Arabidopsis thaliana: one gene and its partner. The protein of the gene in region 1 interacts with the protein of each later gene in a pairwise test. Each region holds a gene or a part of one and is shown in the gene's direction. Other genes may lie near its edges. The genes, in order: EXO84B and SEC15B.

Region 1 (7,071 bases):
CTTCTTCTACATTGCACCCAGCTTCCTGCAGTAACAAAGTAAAGCGGTTGCTAATTAGCATCTAAGAAAGAAATTAACATGAATACTGCAAATAACAAGATTTTCCGAATACTAAAATAGTGGATCAAGAAGAAAGTGGTGAGAAGAAATTTTTTTTTTGAACTGTTACAAAGACAGGAACAAAGTACATTTGTAGTTTCAGACGTAGTCAGCGAAAAACTATTTCGTAAGCAGTTGTTAAGATTATATTACAAATGAAGGTATAAACAAATATGTAAAACCAGAGACATAATATGAGGTGATAGTAAGACATACCACATATAGTTTGTACAATATTGATTCCACATCTTCACCAACATAACCTGCCTGGACAAGAAGAGTAGTTTAGTTATGCTAAGAGCAAGACTTGTGTTAAGATTCCTCTAAAAAGCAAGAAAAACATCATCACTTCATTCAAAATATTTTTCGAAATGAGGGATTGTAAGGCATCCATCCTAGTGGGCCTAATGCTTCCCTAATGTACAACATACTAATGTTCTGAGTACCCAAACCTTAAGAGGGATAAGTGAAACAACTTGCCTGAGTTAGTGAAGTCGCATCAGCAATAGCGAATGGCACATTGACAATACGCGCCAAAGTTTTTGCCAGTAAAGTCTTTCCTGTTCTTATAACCAAGCAAGAAACATAAAGGCCAAGATCATTATCATACTAAACAGTATCTCCAAATACTCTCCAAAACAATATGGCAAGCAACAATATGCACCTGAACCAGTAGGACCAAGCAACAACACATTACTCTTATCCAACTCCACGTGATCAATATTATCATCCTCCATATCAATGTTATATGATTCTGAAGCAGACCTGTTATTAAAAAAAGAGCAAAAGAATCGAGCTTTGTTGTATCCCATATAAAGTATCAGAATGATAAGAGCATGGAAGAAGACAAACCCTTTTTTCCTAGAAGCATGATATATTCTTTTGTAATGATTATAAACAGCCACAGAAAGAACCTGCACAAAAGGAAAGATATGTAAACAAGAATCTAATTTAGACACAAAGAAGAAGAAGCTAGGGACCGAAACCAAACCTTCTTAGCCTTCTCTTGACCAATGACAAACTCATCAAGCCCTTGACAAATTTCCTTAGGAGTTGGAAGCTTAATCACAGATTGCTTCTCTTTATCACCACCATTACTTTCATCCTCCTCCTCATCAGCATCCTCACCATCTTCATCGCTTCTAAGACCTTGAATTTTCCAATTCCTAGGGAAAGATTTCTGATCATCATCATCATCATCATGGTCATCATCAGTTCCTTTAACTTTCCCGAGTTCAATAAAACTCCCTTGTAAAGGAGAGAGCTTGAATGGTCTAAAGTAAAAAGCTGTTTTGCATTGAGAACAGAAATTAACAGCTTGATAGATCCCTGGTTCTCTTGCTGTTAGAGACAATGGACGATTTGAGAAGATGACGTGCATCTGAGCAGAGCAACGAGGACAATTGACGTCACTTCTGATGTGATCATAATCATCTCCGCCGCCACCTCCGCCGCCGCCGCTGCAGGAGTCCCAAATACGGCGGGAGAAGGAAGAGGAAGGGATTAGGGTGTTGGAAGAAGGGCGTAGAAGAGGGATGTGAGGAGGAGAATCAACGGAGAGAAGGAATCTGAAACTGCGAGAGAGAAGAGATGATGATGTTATTGTCTTCCTCGAGACAAATCTGGAAATGGATAAGCTACAAAACATCTCTCTCTGTTGTCTCGATGATATGATTCTTCAAAGGTTTTTGCTCAGATTTACATTAACGGCAATCTTAAAGTAAGCATTCTTTAAAACGGCGTCGGTTTAGCTCAAGTGATGGCAGAGGTGAAGGATAAAGGAAAGCCTCCGTGCAAATGAGAGGGTTTCTGTTTTGCCGTTTACTAGTAAAAAATCCAGTAAAAAAAACCCAGAGTCGTTATTTTATTTATTAGTTTTCAACAAGAAAATTCGTTTGTTTAAGCAGACGAAAAAGCCAAGCTACCGTCGTTGGCTAAATCGCTCTGGTTGCCAACTCGATCATCATCTTCTTCTACCCACTTTCTCTATCTGCTCTCCGTATCTAGGAGCTCCCTCAGATCTGTGCTTAATTCTCCGGTAACATTACCGGCATCACTGGGATTGCTGATCTGGAACCGCTGTGAAATTTTAGGTTTTCTCTGAGAAGACAGGCAAGTTTAACGATGGCGGCGAAGACGGCCAGATCAAAAGCTACGCCGACGAAGGAAAATGGTGTCAGAGTCGAGGAAGGATTGAGTCTGTTCAAGTCTGATAAGTTCGATGCTGATGCTTATGTGCAATCCAAATGTTCTATCAACGAGAAGGTTTTTTTCTGTTCTTTTATCATTTCGTGTTCTTATTCTCGTTGATTTGTTGTTATCACGAGTGAGAATTTTCTAGGACTGAGTCTGTGGGGACTTGTTCGTAGATTTGGGATTGTATCATCGCAGTGTTCTTGTTTTGTTGCATTTCGTTTTAGCTGTAGGAAATCGTAATTGTGGAATGGATATTAGGTAGCAGCAGATTTTATACGCTCGAGAAGATGATGAGCAATGTAACAATACTCATTGCTTGTATGGTTGTTCTTGTGATCTTCTGGAGTTTGAAGGCAGTTTGTGAATTATGATTATGTAAAAATGTTACTCTTAAGAAATGCTGATAGGTTTAGTACCCATTTATAAGCTTTTAGCTTGCCAAATGATGTGTTCAGTGTAATACAGAATGTAGCTCATGTGAATATACATGGATGACTATGTCTTGTATCAGAGACAGAATCTGTTGTTCTCGTTTTCTGTTACAGAAAAGATTCAATTCGGTTATGGTATTGGGTATAAAGGGTGTCTCGTCTGTGTAGTCACTTTCTGTGATGGTGTGAGAGAGCTGAGGGAAAAGTTAGTTTAGGCCTTCTAGAGTTTACTACAAAAAGAGTAGTGTTTGATTTGGTTAACATAGATTGTTGGATTACTTGGCTGGACTCTTTGTTTTTTCTCAGTTATTTTGGGATGATGACATATTTCTGTTCGGTTCACAGGATATAAAGCAGTTATGCTCGTATCTATTGGATTTGAAGAGAGCATCTGCTGAAGAAATGCGGCGAAGTGTTTATGCTAATTATCCAGCCTTTATACGGTTAGCTGATATCCTGTCTGTTTTTAGTGCTTGGTTATTTTCTTTGAAGTTGATGTGATAATAAAGCTCTACTTTTTCAAGTTATTTCATTTCTTGTGGGTATTGGTGCATTTGCGTTTTGCATATGACTTCTTTTTCCTCGCACTACCTTATTGTTTTTTCTTGGCGGTGTGTTATTTTGAAAATTAAACTTTTTTCTGTTCTGTGCAGCACATCTAAAGAGATATCAGATCTTGAGGGGGAGCTATCATCTATCAGAAATCTTCTCTCCACTCAGGCGACTCTAATCCATGGCTTAGCAGATGGAGTTAACATTGATGACGATAAAGTTTCTGATGAATCTCTTGCGAATGGTTTATTGAATTTTGAGGACAACGGCCTCTCTGATCTGGAGAAATGGGCTACGGAATTTCCTGACCACCTTGATGCTTTATTAGCTGAAAGAAGGGTGGATGAAGCTCTGGCAGCTTTTGATGAGGGAGAAATTTTAGTATCTCAAGCAAACGAAAAGCATACTTTAAGCTCTTCTGTACTTTCATCTCTTCAGTTTGCTATTGCCGAACGCAAGCAAAAATTAGCTGACCAACTTGCCAAGGCTGCTTGTCAACCTTCAACTCGAGGTGGGGAACTTCGGTCAGCCATAGCAGCTCTCAAAAGGCTTGGCGATGGTCCTCGAGCCCATACTGTACTTCTTGATGCCCATTTCCAGAGATATCAATACAACATGCAAAGTCTTCGTCCTTCTAGCACCTCATATGGAGGGGCGTACACTGCTGCACTTTCTCAGCTTGTGTTCTCAGCTATCTCTCAAGCTTCTAGTGACTCATTGGGAATCTTTGGGAAAGAGCCAGCATATAGTTCTGAACTTGTGACTTGGGCTACTAAGCAAACAGAGGCGTTTTCCCTTCTTGTTAAAAGGCATGCATTAGCTTCTTCTGCAGCAGCGGGAGGACTAAGAGCTGCCGCAGAGTGTGCACAGATAGCTCTTGGGCATTGTTCTTTGTTGGAAGCTCGTGGTTTGTCCCTTTGCCCAGTGCTTTTAAAGCACTTTAAGCCTATTGTGGAACAGGCATTGGAGGCAAATCTTAAGCGAATTGAAGAAAACACTGCAGCTATGGCTGCTGCAGATGATTGGGTACTGACAAGTCCTCCTGCTGGTAGTCGTCATGCTAGTACAGCATTTCAGAATAAGCTTACATCCAGTGCCCACCGGTTTAATCTCATGGTCCAGGTAGACTATCTTGACAAACACTTTTCTCCGAAATTTTCAGCCTTTTTCTAAAGTTGTGCTAGAAAAATAAAGTGCTTAGGAAATGCAGACATGCCTAGAAAAATGAAATATTTTTCACTCTTAGACGTCTGGTGTGTCTCTTAGATATGCCAGTATCCCATGAAAATTGCTTATAATATGAGTTTACACATCAGCTGTAAAATTGACTAGCCATCGTTGATGACGATTGATTAGAACTTGCACTCGCGTTCCCACTGAAAAGTTATTATAAACTCTAGGCAGTACCAATTCTGTCTTAGCTGCTCTGATAGGCAGAGGATTCCCAAGTGGACTGTCATGAACTTTGGATGTATTTGTCAAGTAGATCCTTTTGATAATGGTATTTTGTTGCAGGACTTCTTTGAGGACGTAGGACCTCTGCTAAGTATGCAATTGGGAAGTAAAGCTCTGGAAGGTCTGTTTCGGGTGTTTAACTCATATGTAGATGTGCTGGTAAGAGCACTTCCTGGTTCGATAGAAGAAGAAGATCCAAATTTTGAAAGTTCATGTAATAAGATTGTCCAAATGGCTGAGACGGAGGCAAACCAACTTGCATTACTCGCAAATGCATCATTGCTAGCGGATGAATTACTTCCACGTGCTGCCATGAAACTCTCTCTTGATCAGACTGGTCAGAGGACAGACGACCTAAGGAGACCTTTGGACAGACAAAATCGTAATCCTGAACAACGAGAATGGAAGAGGCGTTTACTTAGTACTGTTGACAAGTTAAAAGATGCGTTTTGTCGCCAGCATGCCTTGGATCTCATTTTTACTGAGGAAGGAGATAGCCATCTGTCTGCGGATATGTACGTAAACATAGATGAAAATGGCGAGGATGTGGACTTCTTTCCATCTCTGATATTCCAGGTAGTTGTTGTTTCATTTCCATCAGTCCAGTTAGCCTTTATGAAGTACTGTACCCAGATGTGTAGTCACTTGGGAACTCTTATCGGCAGATTGGATACTGTAGAGTTGAATCCATGTTTGTCATAGTCTACTGTCCACTTCAAGAACATGATTTTTTTCTGTCTTTTTTAGCTTAATATTCTTATACTTTGGGTGTTGCGTCGTTGGAAAACAGGAACTTTTTGCCAAACTTAACAGGATGGCAAGTCTAGCAGCAGATATGTTTGTAGGAAGAGAAAGATTCGCCATATCTTTGTTGATGCGATTAACAGAGACTGTGATCTTATGGCTTTCTGGAGACCAGAGCTTTTGGGATGACATTGAGGAAGGTCCTCGACCTTTGGGACCTCTTGGCCTACGGCAGGTTTGTACACTCATTCTTGCTTCTGTATATGTATATTCAGCGAGCATCGAAATTGTTGTGTACCTTTGTTAACAAACAACCTGCATCTGTCACAGCTGTATTTGGACATGAAGTTTGTCATATGCTTTGCATCCCAAGGTCGCTACCTATCGAGGAATTTGCACAGGGGAACTAATGAGATAATATCTAAAGCCTTAGCAGCTTTCACCGCAACAGGGATAGATCCATATAGGTACATCGGTTTTGAGGGTGTTTTGCAATGTTTTAGCCTTTATGGTAAGTATAAATGATTAAAATGTGGTTGTGAATGATGTGCAGTGAGCTGCCAGAAGACGATTGGTTCAATGACATATGTGTGGATGCGATGGAAAGATTGAGTGGCAAGACAAAGGGCAACAACGGGGATGTCCACAGTCCGACTGCTTCAGTGTCAGCTCAGTCTGTTTCATCAGCGAGATCTCATGGCAGCTATTGAAACCAAACCCATCTTACATTTGTTAAGAAGGTGAATGGTCAATAACTTTTGATCTTCTCTTTTCAGCTCTGCTTTTCCAAAAGCTTTCTATTTTGTAGAGTCTCCAGTTGTTGATGAGATGATTTTGGGGGCGTGTAAATGTTGTTGAGTTGACATGTTTGTTTTCTTGTATTGGTCCTCTCTCTCTCTCAATGGATGCATTCTTTGGGTTAAAATATTGAAGAGAGTGTTGATCTTTCTTCTCTATGATACACTCTCTTTCTGTTTTGGTATTGGATCAGATGTAGCAAACTTGAATGAGATATCTTACGATTCACTTTTTGTATTTCCTACTCGAATCATGTAGTTCATAGCGTAAATTAGTTTTAAGTAAATCGTGTTGTGTAAACTCCTAGTCTAATTCTTGGTACGGTGGGTCGGATCTTGGGATGTACAAAAGTTTGAATAATGGGTAAGGACGGTTACCTACCACATGGACCCTTAAAGGCTTGGTAATTTGGCCACGCATGCCCGATAAGGCAATAATCATTCGCGAATGAGGCTTAGAGATGCTAGAGTCATCCCTCGCCATTGATGCAAACACCTCCTTTGCTTCTCTACATGTTTGAGATTCATGTTTTGACAGATGACAAACAAAAGTAGGTGGTGATACTCAGGCTGTGAATGGTAACCAAAACCGTATCGCAACAGTGCTGTAACAGTATCAAAATCTTTACATATACATATGTATCTATGTATTTTCGTTCCTATTTGAACCGCACCGCACTTCTTCCGCACCGCAAAACGCAGTCACCATTCGGAGCCTCAGAATGTATAAAACATGGCAAGGAAGATGTGATGTTGATAGCTCTATGGTAGATTTCAGGTAATGACTTTTCCAATGA
Region 2 (5,247 bases), on another chromosome or scaffold:
AGATGTATATTTAGGCGATTGCTTTTTGCCATGCCTTGATACTGCTTCAAGAAAGTTGAGCTTTTTATGTGTAAATGTATACACAATGAGAAATTTCTTAGCCACTATTAGTTTCTGTTTGTGTCTATAGAAACAGAGACCAGCCACCTACCTATACATAGCTGAACTTAGCTCAGGCTCTGACTCTGATAATGCAAGTTGCTATTGATGATTAGAAAAAGGCAATTAGTGCTTACTTTAATATAGTGCAGTCAAAGTCAAAGTCATTTACTTTATTTGAGTTACTTGCTTTAAGTAAATGTAGTTGGATCAGTCTTGTGGTCTTCAATTGCTTAAGTTGGTCCTACTAAAGATTTTGAGTTTCTTTTTTCTCAGGAGCCTGGAGAGATCGAAGAGGACTTTGCTCAAGTTGATACAAAAAAGTTAATAACCAGATTTTTCACTTCGCGTAACCCACGTCCACCTTGCATTCCAAAGTCAGTTGGTTTCAGAGGTTTACCTGATCCACCTTCTTTGCCCGCTTGGCTCACCGAACAAGATGTCAGGTTCTACGGAGACAAGTTTAGCCAAAAAGGCTTCACCGGTGGGCTAAACTACTATCGCGCCCTGAACCTGTAAGTCTTATGAATTCTAGCCACCTATTCTACATCATACAATCATCTTTTCATGGTTAATCTTGGACTTGAATCAATCTGGTCTTATCCTAACCTGCAGAAGCTGGGAACTAACAGCTCCATGGACCGGTCTACAAATCAAAGTCCCTGTGAAATTCATAGTGGGTGATCTAGACATAACATACAATATCCCCGGAACAAAGGAATACATACATGAAGGTGGTTTGAAGAAGCACGTACCTTTTCTACAAGAAGTGGTGGTAATGGAAGGTGTAGGTCACTTCCTCCATCAAGAGAAGCCTGACGAGGTCACTGACCATATCTATGGCTTCTTCAAGAAATTCAGAACCCGCGAAACCGCATCCTTGTAGTAGTTCTCCGTCTGCACAATGTCAAATTCAAGGTTGATTAAGCTTGATCAGGGTTACTTACTGTCTTAGAGCCCTACTATGTAATGTTTTCAAGGATGCTATCTGTGTATTGTGCTTGTTTAATAATTTAGCAAAATATAATAATAGAACAAATAATTTCTCAAATGTTGGCCATCTCCAGTTCAATATATCCTTAAACTTTTCTTATGTCCAAATTAATTTTCAAAATGTTGAATTCCTATGGTTTCTAGAAAACTTCAATTAAGCATAGATGATTTTTTTTAGGTGAAATTAATATCAAAAAACTGAAATATATGTACAATTTTATCAAAAATTATAAATCTACTAAGGACATTTATACCTACCAACTGAATAAATTCAATAAAATATATAATACCAATGTTTTTTTTTTGTCAACAGAATTGGTGTATTAATTTTTTGGCAGTGGATATTTTCAACAAAATCTAAAGCGCGTTCGACCACGCGCCTGTGACGCGTAAAACTCAGTTTGACAAATATTCACAATTAATTGAAGACGCCAGTCAGAAGAAAAAACCACTACGCAGCTTGAAAAGACAAACACACCCTCGTCTTCTTCCGTCGCACCGCTTCTACAGCAATGTCATTTTAGTCAAACCCCAAAATTCGAGCTCCCTTTGAAGAAAAAACCACCAAATCAGTTTCGTTGTCCCAAATCCAAAATTCCTCCTTCTTCTTCGCTGTAACGCTTTATACCTAATCGGAGATAAAACAATGCAATCGTCGAAAGGACGGCGGAAAGTTGGCTCCACAACCGCCGGAGCCGGTATAGATTCGGCGGAGAAGCTCGACGAGCTCTTGATATCGTCTGCCATTTGTAACGGTGAAGATTTAGGACCATTTGTTCGGAAAACTTTCGGTACAGGGAAACCAGAGACTCTTCTTCACCATCTCAAGTTTTTCGCACGATCTAAGGAATCAGAGATCGAAGAGGTATGTAAAGCTCACTATCAAGACTTTATCCACGCCGTAGACGATCTTAAATCGCTTCTCTCAGATGTTGAATCGCTTAAATCTGCGCTTTCCGATTCAAACTCTAAACTCCAATCTGTTGCGGCGCCGCTTCTTTCGTCTCTCGATTCGCTTGTTGAGGCTCAGACTGTGTCTAAGAACGTCGATCTGGCGATTGGAGCGGTGACTCATTGTGTTCGTGTTATGGAACTTGTCTCTCGAGCTAATCAGCATCTTCAGAGCGGTAATTTCTACATGGCGTTGAAATGTGTGGACTCGATTGAGAGTGATTTCATGGAGAAAACTCCTTCGTCAACGCTGAAACGGATGCTTGAGAATAGGATTCCGGCGATTCGATCTTATGTGGAGAGGAAAGTGAATAAGGAGTTTGGAGATTGGTTGGTTGAGATCCGTGTGGTGAGTCGGAATTTAGGTCAGTTGGCTATTGGTGAAGCTTCCGCGGCTCGTCAGCGAGAGGAGGAGCTCAGGATCAAGCAGAGACAAGCGGAGGAGCAGAGTAGACTTAGTCTACGCGATTGCGTTTATGCGCTAAACGAAGAAGAGGATGATGAATTTGGTTCTGGCCATGAAGGCAGCGATGGTGGTAGTTCCGGAGGTGGATTGCTAGGTTTTGATTTGACACCACTTTATAGAGCTTATCACATTCATCAGACACTATCTCTTGGGGATACTTTTAAGCAGTACTATTATAACAATAGGGATCTTCAGCTTACCTCTGACTTCCAGGTATCTACTATGACTCCGTTTCTCGAGTCACATCAGACGTTTTTCGCACAGATTGCTGGGTTTTTCATAGTAGAGGATAGAGTTTTAAGGACTGGAGGAGGGTTGATTTCGAAGCTGGAAGTGGAGACTTTGTGGGATACTGCTGTTACTAAGATGTGTGCTGTGTTGGAGGATCAGTTCTCTAGAATGCAGACGGCTAATCATCTCTTACTGATTAAGGATTATGTGAGCTTGTTGGGGGTGAGTCTACGCAGGTATGGCTATGCTGTTGATTCCCTTCTCGAAGTATTAAGCAAGCACAGGGACAAGTATCATGAGTTGTTACTATCTGATTGCCGTAAACAGATCACAGAAGCTTTATCAGCAGATAAGTTTGAGCAGATGTTGATGAAGAAAGAATATGAGTATTCCATGAATGTGCTCTCTTTCCAGTTACAAACATCAGAAATAGTACCGGCATTCCCTTTCATTGCTCCATTTTCGACCACCGTCCCAGATTGTTGCCGGATTGTGAGGTCTTTTATCGAGGATTCGGTTAGTTTCATGTCTCACGGAGGTCAGCTTGATTTCTATGATGTAGTGAAGAAGTATCTGGATAGGCTTCTAGGCGAGGTTCTCGATGAGGCTCTGTTGAAGCTGATTAGCACGTCGGTTCATGGAGTTTCTCAGGCAATGCAAGTTGCAGCAAACATGGCCGTATTTGAACGAGCTTGCGATTTCTTCTTCCGTCACGCTGCACATCTTTCAGGAGTTCCTTTGAGAATGGCGGAGAGAGGTAGGAGGCATTTCCCATTGACGAAATCTCAAAACACTGCAGAAGATACACTCTCAGGAATGCTTAAGAAGAAGATAGATGGTTTCATGACATTACTCGAGAATGTCAATTGGACAAGCGACGATATACCACAAGGTGGGAATGAGTACATGAACGAAGTGTTGATCTACTTGGAAACTTTGGTTTCCACCGCACAACAGATCTTACCCGCTAAAGTCTTGAAAAGGGTTTTGCGTGATGTCCTTGCTCACATTTCTGAGAAAATCGTTGGAACGTTATGCGGGGATCTAGTAAAAAGATTGAGCATGGCTGCAATCAAAGGACTTGATGTGGATATTCAGTTGTTGGACTCGTTTACAGAGAACCTAACTCCATTGCTCACGGATAAAGAAGCAAGAGAGATGAAAAAAGCGTTTGTCGAGATAAGACAGATGATCAATTTACTTCTGAGTAGTCATCCTGAGAATTTTGTAAACCCGGTGATCAGAGAAAGAAGCTACAATGCTTTGGATTACCGGAAAGTAGCCACGGTTTCAGAGAAATTCAGAGATCCATCAGATAGTATTTTCGGGACTTTTGGAACAAGAGGGTCGAGGCAAAACCCGAAGAACAAATCTTTAGATGCGTTGATAAAGAGATTGAAAGATGTGAGCTGATGATGGATCCCAGCACAAACCCAAAACGTAAGTACGATCCCGTCCTTTGTGTTAATTATATGATTGCTTTGTATTTCATTGTTGATGATTCGTTGGTCTCTCAAAAAGAAAGGCAAAAAAAAAAACACTAAAACTGATTTCACCCCAATATTGTTTTTTTTTTTTTTTCTTCTTCCATTAATAGCATTTTCGTTAATGAGTTCAATAGTTTGATTTTGAATTGCAAAGTTCATGTCACTGCAGCCTTTCACTATGCCGTAGCTTTTTACCGCATTAAGTCATCAATCGGATCCTTAGTACGGTTTTAGTTACGATCATGAAATAGTAAAATCAGTCCAGTGGAATGCAAACTTGGCTGAGTTTCTTTATTTCAATCAAGGTTGGTTTGGTTACCACGTGATCGTCGTTTTTCCCTATTAACACGTGTGCTCTCTCTGTCAATCAAATCGTCACCGTACATCTAATTTGCATGGTCTCTTCATCAGACAGTCCAGAACACACAAACACCTAACAACTGTTTTCGTCTTCTGTACTTAATGAGACACTTCAAAGCTTATGCTAAATTAGACACGAATCATAAGAGCAAAACTTAAAGAAGTAAAGAACCATGTCGCTAGACGCGAATACTTGTTCTATCGTCTTCTTTCTATTCTTCACTGTCTCTTTCGCCGTCTCCGGCCAAAAGCCAACCGCTTACGACGCCGTCAAACTCTATAACTTACCACCAGGAATCCTCCCAAAAGGAGTGGTTGACTATGAGCTTAACCCAAAAACAGGCAACTTCAAAGTCTACTTCAATGACACGTGTGAATTCACCATCCAATCCTACCAGCTCAAGTACAAATCAACTATCTCCGGCGTTATATCACCCGGTCATGTCAAGAATCTGAAAGGAGTTAGTGTTAAGGTTCTTTTCTTCTGGGTTAATATTGCTGAAGTGTCTCTTGACGGCGCCGATCTCGACTTCTCCGTCGGAATCGCGTCGGCGAGTTTTCCGGCTGCTAATTTTGAAGAGAGTCCTCAGTGTGGTTGTGGGTTTGATTGTAATAATGGGCTTTTATTTTCTTCTTGAATCTGTTGGGCCTTGTGTTGTA

What was found.
Region 2: the proteins of EXO84B (region 1) and SEC15B interact in a two-hybrid assay, tested with the Arabidopsis thaliana proteins (one study listed by BioGRID).

Annotation. Positions count from the first base shown.
Region 1 is NC_003076.8:20,249,919-20,256,989, reverse strand, and holds EXO84B (exocyst complex component 84B), read left to right. Parts: upstream 1-1,950; 5' UTR 1,951-2,223; coding exon 2,224-2,364; intron 2,365-2,525; coding exon 2,526-2,640; intron 2,641-2,840; coding exon 2,841-2,911; intron 2,912-3,071; coding exon 3,072-3,169; intron 3,170-3,379; coding exon 3,380-4,400; intron 4,401-4,793; coding exon 4,794-5,309; intron 5,310-5,523; coding exon 5,524-5,712; intron 5,713-5,807; coding exon 5,808-5,944; intron 5,945-6,030; coding exon 6,031-6,187; 3' UTR 6,188-6,504; downstream 6,505-7,071. Other genes in the region: AT5G49840 (ATP-dependent Clp protease), read right to left, coding at 1-25, 316-366, 580-659, 764-864, 952-1,013, 1,091-1,747. UniProt on the Arabidopsis thaliana protein: Component of the exocyst complex involved in the docking of exocytic vesicles with fusion sites on the plasma membrane during regulated or polarized secretion. Involved in polarized cell growth and organ morphogenesis.
Region 2 is NC_003075.7:1,036,419-1,041,665, forward strand, and holds SEC15B (exocyst complex component sec15B), read left to right. Parts: upstream 1-1,695; 5' UTR 1,696-1,738; coding exon 1,739-2,722; intron 2,723-2,773; coding exon 2,774-4,153; 3' UTR 4,154-4,180; exon of another isoform or gene 4,181-4,356; intron 4,357-4,396; 3' UTR 4,397-4,646; downstream 4,647-5,247. Other genes in the region: AT4G02340 (alpha/beta-Hydrolases superfamily protein), read left to right, coding at 376-614, 715-985; AT4G02360 (transmembrane protein, putative (Protein of unknown function, DUF538)), read left to right, coding at 4,761-5,225. UniProt on the Arabidopsis thaliana protein: Component of the exocyst complex involved in the docking of exocytic vesicles with fusion sites on the plasma membrane during regulated or polarized secretion. Involved in polarized cell growth and organ morphogenesis.